Linked DNA regions of Macaca mulatta. Each later gene encodes a partner of the first gene's protein in a complex. Links are inferred from orthologs where the notes say so. Each region holds a gene or a part of one and is shown on either strand. Other genes may lie near its edges. The genes, in order: KPNA4 and RANBP3.

Evidence for each region.
Region 2: the proteins of KPNA4 (region 1) and RANBP3 are in contact, whole or in part, in a crystal structure (PDB 5XZX), measured with the Homo sapiens proteins. The link is inferred for Macaca mulatta from reciprocal best matches to the Homo sapiens genes KPNA4 and RANBP3. Residues at the interface, in NP_002259.1 of Homo sapiens: Arg96, Leu99, Ser100, Asp102, Arg103, Pro105, Phe133, Trp137, Thr140, Asn141, Ala143, Ser144, Gly145, Thr146, Ser147, Thr150, Glu175, Gln176, Trp179, Gly182, Asn183, Gly186, Asp187, Asn219, Trp222, Val225, Asn226, Arg229, Asp261, Trp264; in NP_015561.1 of Homo sapiens: Asn114, Tyr115, Cys116, Pro117, Pro118, Val119, Lys120, Arg121, Glu122, Arg123, Thr124, Ser125, Leu127.

The regions. Positions count from the first base shown.
Region 1 is NC_133407.1:63,694,339-63,698,149, forward strand, and holds part of KPNA4 (importin subunit alpha-3), read right to left. Parts: intron 2,635-3,811; coding exon 2,465-2,634; intron 2,375-2,464; coding exon 2,330-2,374; intron 1-2,329. UniProt on the Homo sapiens protein: Functions in nuclear protein import as an adapter protein for nuclear receptor KPNB1. Binds specifically and directly to substrates containing either a simple or bipartite NLS motif.
Region 2 is NC_133424.1:6,857,355-6,861,753, forward strand, and holds the start of RANBP3 (ran-binding protein 3), read right to left. Parts: upstream 2,910-4,399; 5' UTR 2,893-2,909; coding exon 2,871-2,892; intron 1-2,870. UniProt on the Homo sapiens protein: Acts as a cofactor for XPO1/CRM1-mediated nuclear export, perhaps as export complex scaffolding protein. Bound to XPO1/CRM1, stabilizes the XPO1/CRM1-cargo interaction. In the absence of Ran-bound GTP prevents binding of XPO1/CRM1 to the nuclear pore complex.

The DNA.
Region 1 (3,811 bases):
TCACCCAGGCTGGAGTGCAGTGGCCGGATCTCAGCTCACTGCAAGCTCCGCCTCCCGGGTTTACGCCGTTCTCCTGCCTCAGCCTCCCGAGTAGCTGGGACTACAGGCGCCCGCCACCTCGCCCGGCTAGTTTTTTTGTATTTTTTAGTAGAGACGGGGTTTCACCGTGTTAGCCGGGATCGTCTCTCGATCTCCTGGCCTCGTGATCCGCCCGTCTCGGCCTCCCAAAGTGCTGGGATTACAGGCTTGAGCCACCGCGCCCGGCCGAAAGCGCTAAAGATATTTCTAATGTAAAAAGAAGATATCAAACAAAAGAGTTTGCACAGGCCGGGCGTGGTGGCTCACGCCTGTAATCCCAGCACTTTGGGGGGCCGAGGCAGGTGGCTCACGAGGTCAGGAGTTCAAGACTAGCCTGGCCAACATACTGAAACCCTGTCTCTACTAAAAAATACAAAAAAAAATTAGCCAGGTGTGGTGGCGGGCATCTGTAATCCCAGCTACTCTGGAGGCTGAGGCAAGAGAATCGCTGGAACCCAGGAGGTGGAGGTTGTAGTGAGTGGAGATCATGCCTCTGTACTCCAGCCTGGGTGACAGTGCGAGACTCCATCTCAAAAAGAAAAAAAAAAAAAGAGTTCACCCAGAAAGAGTGGTATCAACGTATGTGAAAAAACCTAAATTTCAATTTGCAAATGTAACTGAGTTTCTTTTCTGGAATATCAACATATGCTAAAATTTGTTGACATAGGCCAAAAATTTCAAGTTACTTGCTCATAACTGTATATAAAAGCTAGATACATGTTTTTAAAGGACATGTCACTAATATGCTCAGATCAAAATCAAAATTCAAATCAAACTTCTAAAACATTATTTAGTAAGCAATATTATTTGTTAATCATGTTACTAAAAAGAATGATGCAAACAGACTTGAGAAATTCTTCAAGAAACATCAAAGGCAAGAAAATAGAGTCACAATCTCATCTAGATTGGAGGAAATAGGTGGAAAGAACACAATACATCTCTAAATAAAAGTCAACCAAGATGTCCTGTTTTCCAGTAGAGGTATAAACTTTGAAGTTAATCTCTCTCTCTCTTTCTCCCTCTCTCTCTCTCGACAGGGTCTTGCTCTGTCACCCAGGCTGCAGTACAGTGACATGATCACAGCTCACTGCAGCCTTGACTTCCCAAGCTCAGGAGATTCTCTGGCTTCAGCCACCGAGTAGCTGAGACTACAGGTGCACACCACTATGCCTGGCTAATTTTTTTGTATTTTTTATAGAGACAGGGTTTCATCATGTGGCCCAGTCTGGTCTCGAACTTCTGCACTCAAGTGATCCTCCTGCCTCAGCCTCCTAAAGTGCTGGGACTATAGGCATAAGCCACCACACCTGGCCTCTTGTAAATCTTTCAAAGCAAAATATTATTTAACTGTTTGATACAGTAAAATTCTAATTTTAATTTGTTCCAGACAAATTAAATTCTGGCCAAAAGGTACAGGCCTTTAAATTGTAAAGAAATGAAGCAGCTTGTCCAACACTGGTCACCATGCCAAACTGTTTTTAAAGAACCACATGAGTTCCTGATTGTTGCTAAACATTTCATTCATATGTCTTCCCTTACCCAGTATATTCCTGGTTTCTCTAACACACCAAAGGCTGGTCTGGCTTTTACAAGCACTCAGGGCAGTTTTCCACCTCATTCATACTCCCTGAGTTGCTTTTTCCTCTGCCATCTGTGTTAGTAAAAATAAGCAAAATATATTTGCTATGTTTAAAATCTTGCCTGCACTGATTTTTTTTTCCTTGTTGTTTGAATAATCAAGAGTTATCTTGATAAATGAAGCCACTGCCAGTCACTGTAACTGAGAAATAGAATAAAAAATGGAATTAAAGGGCAATTGATGTGCATGGTTTGGTATGTGTATATGAATACAAATCCATGCACAAACATTTTCCTTTCTCATCTTTCAAAAAACAAAAATAGCACTATCTGTGTGTGCTTTCATTGGCCAAACTGTCAAAATGAGCTTCCTTTATAAAAAGCACATGAACAATCAAAGACACGATCTTAGTAAGAGAAATCACTATTAACGGGCAACTTTAAAAACTTTTAATGTCAGTTTTTACAACACATATATATATATACATACATTATTGCCCACACCAAAATAACAGTTATGCTTGATTTCTTAACTGGTATTATATTTCGTGATATGGGAAAATCTGACAGTATGCTGACACAATGTGTTAGTACAGTATTTCCCCCCTATGTCACAGGGGAAGCCCTAGAAATACATACATACATAAATATATAATGGGACACATTTACTCACATTTACGTCTGTGTGATGAATTAAAACACAAAGGGCTGGAAGAATCTGAGGAGAGAAATATGTAGATTTAAAAACATACACAGATAAAAAACACATATATAATGGTATCTCTTTTAATTTTTTTTAACTGTTTACCTCCTGAATGGTTTCCATTGGTGGTGGTGGGTCTTTGTGGCGACATAAGTTGACCATAACCCAAGTAACATTTCTTAAGAATGTTATAGGAATAGATGGACTTATGAAGGAAAGTAAAGGTTTCACAACTCCAAGACTTATGACATAATCTCTACACTGGGGCCCATCACCTGTAGAAAAAAAGGATTAACTCAATAAAACATTGACAGTAAGCATTTTCAGAAAACACGAAGCACTGGGAATACGCTGCTTCATGTATTTTAACCAGATACACTGTTCAGTTTTAGACAATAAGCAGGCTCCCATTCAAGATTTCTGAGCCAAGAGAGGCAACATAAGGTGATAAGGTATTTTTTTGCACATTATTCCCATCTTCAGCATTTTGCTGCTCTCTTAATTAAACTGCTGCTTTTAACTTCTCTCTCAATATTACTCTCGGTTTAACAAACTTTCATGTGATAAAAAAGATGTATCAAGAAAACATTTGTTGAATTTGTACTTACAATCCAGTATCAGAGCATCAAGGTTATGAACTATAAATTACTCTATACACTTAGAAAACTATGTCAGAAAAAAAGGGTGAACCAGTGCTAGAACAGTGGTTCTCAATGTGATTACTGGGCTCTAGCTCAGGCCTCCTGAAGCAGAAACTCTATGGGTCTGGAATTCTGTTTTAACAAGCACCCCATGTAGTTCTGATTGCATGCTAAGGTTTGAGAACAACTGCTGCAGAGAACTGACAAGTTTAATTTCTGTATCTAAAGCATCACTGCAGTTTCTAATATATGAAGCCATGTTAAAAGGTTACCATAAGTGAAAACACCTTCGCTTGCACTATAATATTTGGAAATAAAATGTTTGTTCTTTTTGCATCCATATATTCGTGTTAATTACAGAATGTGATTGGAATAAAAAATGAAAGATCAAGATGCTGTATAATAGCTCTAAATCTAACATTTGGTATAAAAGCAAGAGTGAGGGACTCTGGATATAGAAACAATCGCATTCCTAATAGTATAAACCCAATGTCGAGAATGGTTTACAGGGAAATTCTCCTTTTAAAACTCATAGCCACTCCTTACTTCCATGTTAGCCCTGTGTAAGGGCAATAAAGAGGTGGCATATCAAAGTAACAATGATTATTTCCATGCAAGAATAAAGAATTTGGCAAAAATAATCTTTAGAATCATTCTCCTTCACTAGATTAGCAAGACCCCTACAAACAGTACCTCAACCCTCACGCATAATAGTTAGGTCTCTGAGCTATACTGGGGCACAATACGATTCAGATTTTTCACATCCTTTACTGGAGAATAGTTCTTTGAATTTTTGAGTTTAGGCTCTAGT
Region 2 (4,399 bases), on another chromosome or scaffold:
GAAACACCATGACTGATTAAAGGACTGCAGGAATATGTGAGGCACAAAGTCCACCAAGGTTTGATTTCCTCAAGACAGCGATCCTTGAACTAGTGTCAGGGATAACGTGCTAGGTGAGTGTGGCATTTACTAGGGAAAAAAAGTGAAGTTCAAAACATTCCATTTCTCTCTTTGGCCCTTACCAGTTCAACTATGCCATTTACAACCAACAGCTCACGTGTACCGCATATGCTAGAAAGAGTATCCCCTGGAAAAGGGCAATCCATAATTTTCCCTTTGTGCTCAAATGTATTCCTCACAACAGGGTCCTCACTGGTGAATTCATTCATTCATTCATTCATTCATTCAACCAATATTTCTTGTATACCTACTCTGTGCCAGGCACCGTTCTAGATGCAAGGGGGTAATCAGTGATCATGACATAAAAATCCCTGACCTCATGGAGCGTACACGAGGCAAACATGCAAGTAACATCTAGCATGCTGGATTGTAAGAGCTGTACAGGAAAATCAAGCTAGGTGAACGGAATAGAGAACGTGGATATAATTTGAAATAGGTGGCCAGAGAAGCTCTCATTAATAAAGTAACATATGAGTAAAAACCAGAAGAAGTGAGCCACGGGGGTATCTGGGGGAAAACTGTTTCAGTTAGAGGAATCAGTAGGAGAAAAGGCTAAAAGCGGGGAGTGTATGGAACATTCAAGGAAAACTGAAAAAGCTAGAGTAGTTAGCACAGAGCAAGTCAGCGGAGAGTGGTGAGAGAGAAGGACAGGGAGGCACTGGGGCCCACTATGGGTTGAGAAGTTTTCAGTAGGGTAAGGGTGGAGGGAACAGGGGCCCAAGCATTGACAGTCTTGGTGGGGAGAAGTGGTGGTCCCCCTTTGGAAATAATTTTAAGGTAGAAATGACAGAATTTGCTGTGGAGTATGAGAAAGAGGGAAACCAGGGATGACTCCAAGGTTTGGGGCCTGAGGAATTCAAAGAATGGATCTGCCTAACTACAATGGGTGAAAGACCATGGGATGGGTGGGTGTGGTGGAGATAAGGATTTTTGTTTTGGAAATGCTCCAGACAAGCCTATGACACATCCAAATGGAGATGTCCAAATGTGATGCTGGACATGAGTCCTGAGTTCAAGAAACTATATGGGCTCAGGATGTAAATACATAAAATATGTCATATTGATTCCCACTTACCCATTCCCTCTGTAACTAGATCTCATGAGTTGGAACGCTGCAACCCTCCACGGGCTCCTTTATCTTAAAAAAAGAGATGTAGCAGCTGGGCGCAGTGGCTCACGCCTGTAATTCCAGCACTTTGGGAGGCTGAGGCGGGTGGATCACGAGGTCAGGAGATCAAGACCATCCTGGCCAACATGGTGAAATCCCGTCTCTACTAAAAATACAAAAATTAGCTGGATGTGGTAGCGCGCGCCTGTAATCCCAGATACTCGGGAGGCTGAGGCAGGAGAATCGCTTGAACCCGGGAAGCGGAGATTGCAGTGAGCCGAGATCACATCACTGCACAGCCTGGCAACAGAGCGAGACTCCGTCTCAAAAAATAAAATAGAATAAAATGGCCAAGAATCAGGGAGCCCACCTGTGCTGCTTCCTGTACAGATGCCCAGCGCCCGCCCAACACCACACAGAATCAGAATCTTTAAAAGTCCGAGACCCCGTGGTCTGGCATCTGAAGCCAGGCCACCTTGGTTCACATCCCTGCTCCTTCCCAGCTGTGTGACATGCCTTGGATAAGCGACGTAACCAGGCTGACTTAGTTTCCTCATCAAGTGAATGGGGCTAACAGTATCTATACCTCCTCCCAGGGAAAACAGTATGTCAGGACTTTGCACCTTAACTGGTACTACCCTAAATGCTCCACAAGACCGAGCACTTCCTATCATAATTCATTCATTAGTGCAATTCGGGATGGAAAACTCTCCAGCTACAGGGAGCACCGGATGAGGGAATCAGGGCCAGACAGGTAGAGAGATTGCCTGCATTTGTGCAACTAGAAGAAGGGGGAGCTAAAAATAGGCCTCAGAAGTCCTGAAGCTACAGCCATGGCAACACGACTGTGGATGGAAGCAGACATCAGCCTTACGGTGCCTTCTCGGGGGATCTGGAAGTGTAACCTTGTCAAAAACACTCAGGTGGGCTGTCAGCGCTCCACAGAGGAGGGATTCGCACGGTCTCTGTCTGGAAGCGCAGCAAAAAGGACCAAAAAGCAGCCAGGGCTTTCGGCGGCCCAGATCCTGCGGCGGGGCCTAAATGAGGGGGAGACGAGGCGCCCCGAAGGATCCGGGGGGAACTGGCGGGAAGTGGGGGCCGAAGTTCGGGGCGGGGACGCGGTGAAAACGGCCTGGGCTTCCTCCGGCCGCGGTGTGCGGCTGGTCCGCGGAGGACGAGGGCCTCACGGGCTCAGGAGATAGGCAGCCAGGCCGGGGAAGGGGAGACGTCGGGTGGCGGAGGACGAGGGGGCGGGGAGGGAGCGTGGCGCGCTCCGGGCCACGACCAGGCCCCAAGGTCTATTTACATCTGTGGCCGAAGCACTGGGGCCGCTACTCCCGCCCCCTTCAGCCCCGAGCTTGGCTGCGACGCAGAGGGCCCTTAGGGCTGCGATCTCGACGGCCTCCCGGCTCCTCTAGCCAAACGGCTGCAGGAGCCGAGGCTGCCGGGAGTGATGGGCCGGGCCGGTGAGCCCGACCTGAGGGGAGGCAATAGGGGGCGGCTGCAGGGCCCGCCAGGGTGCTAGCCTGAAGCGGACGAAACCCTTGCACTCTGCGGTGTTCCCCCCACAGGCTTGTGGCCTCTGGTCCTCCCGCTGCCCGTTCCCCGGCCGCCAGCCGGTCCCCGACGGCGCCTCCCCTACCTTCGTTCGCCAGGTCCGCCATTTTACTTCCTTAAGCCCTCCCACAAGGCCCCGCGCCGGCCCAGGCTCGCCTGCTTTCTGCCAGAAACTCCCGCGCGTGCGCACTTAACAAGCCTACTCCCTGTGAGGCGGCCAGCTCGCGCCTGCGCGCTGAGCGCCGCGCGGAGGCGAGCTTCAGATCGCCTGCCGGGCCAAGCCGCCTGCCCTGCGGAGCCGCGCTCCCAACACACGCCTGCGCACGAGCCGTCTCCCGCCTCCTTTTCCCGCCGACTGAGGGGGCGGGGACAGGGCCGGGAAGGGCGCATGCGCAGTGGCAGCGACGAAAGTTTAGTGAGGCGGCGCCGCGCGGCGCGAGGCGGGTCTTGAGGCTCTCGTTTTTCCCGCTCGTTTTCCGGGGATCCCCCGCGGTGGGACAGTGAGCAGTTCAGGACGCCTCAGCCGAGGTCTTCCTCCAGGTAAACCCCCGGGCCTGCGGCGGCTTCCCACACGCGCGGGCGGGAGACGCGTTACCTCCTGCCTCAGTTTACCCGCCTTAGGAGCCGTTACCTTCAGCAAACCCTTTCCTGAAACCACGGGGGAAGTGGCGAGAGGGCGCGGGGTGCTTGGGATTGGGGGGAATCAGAGCTCATCGGCGAGGGCGGGGGTCGTGGTCAGGCGCGAGGAGGGAGCGCAGCCCTGGGACGCAGGTGCTGGCGGGGGGCAGGGGGGACCCGGCGCGTGGAACTCGACCCCTCGGAGCCACGAGAATCAACTTCACAAGCTCATGGGAGGGTGTTGGACCCCGCGCGCCTCCAGGTTCCCCATCTGGAAAATGGGACCATCAGCCTCACTCGCAAGGCTCATGGGAGGGTCCCGGACACCCTGGAGTTGTTTTCTACTCACCTGCTATGAATCTGTCAGCAAATCCTTCGGACCTGGCCTTGCCTCCAAAATACAGCCCAGATCCACGCTTTCTCCCCAGCCAGGCTGTCACCACCCTAGGCCACATCGTCCCTATCTGTCTCATGGAAGACTTGGACAGTCTCATGGAAGACTTGGACTTTGCTGCATTCTTTGGAAGCCCCAGGCTCTGTTCTGCCCATGGCCGCAGGCTGAGGAGTCTTTTAAAAATGTAACCAGCCTGATGCGGTAGCTCACCCCTGTAATCCCAGAACTGTGGGAGGCCAAGGTGGGAGGATCTCTTGAGCTCAGTTCAAACCCAGCCTAGAAAACAGAGCAAGACCCCATCTCTACAAAAACACAAAAATTACCCGGGTGTGGTGGTGCAGGCCAGCTACTCGGGAGGCTGAGGCAGGAGGATCACATGAGCCCAGGAGGTTGAGGCTGCAGTGAGCTATGACAACAGTGCCACTGCCACCATCCTAGGGACAGAGCAAGAACCCCCCCATATATATAGATATAAATACTTTGTTTTTATCTACATACATATATACACACACAGATATATACATACATATGTGTGTATATATTTGTGTGTGTGTGTGTATATATATATACACACATAGACTGAAAACAGAAATATCAAGGCC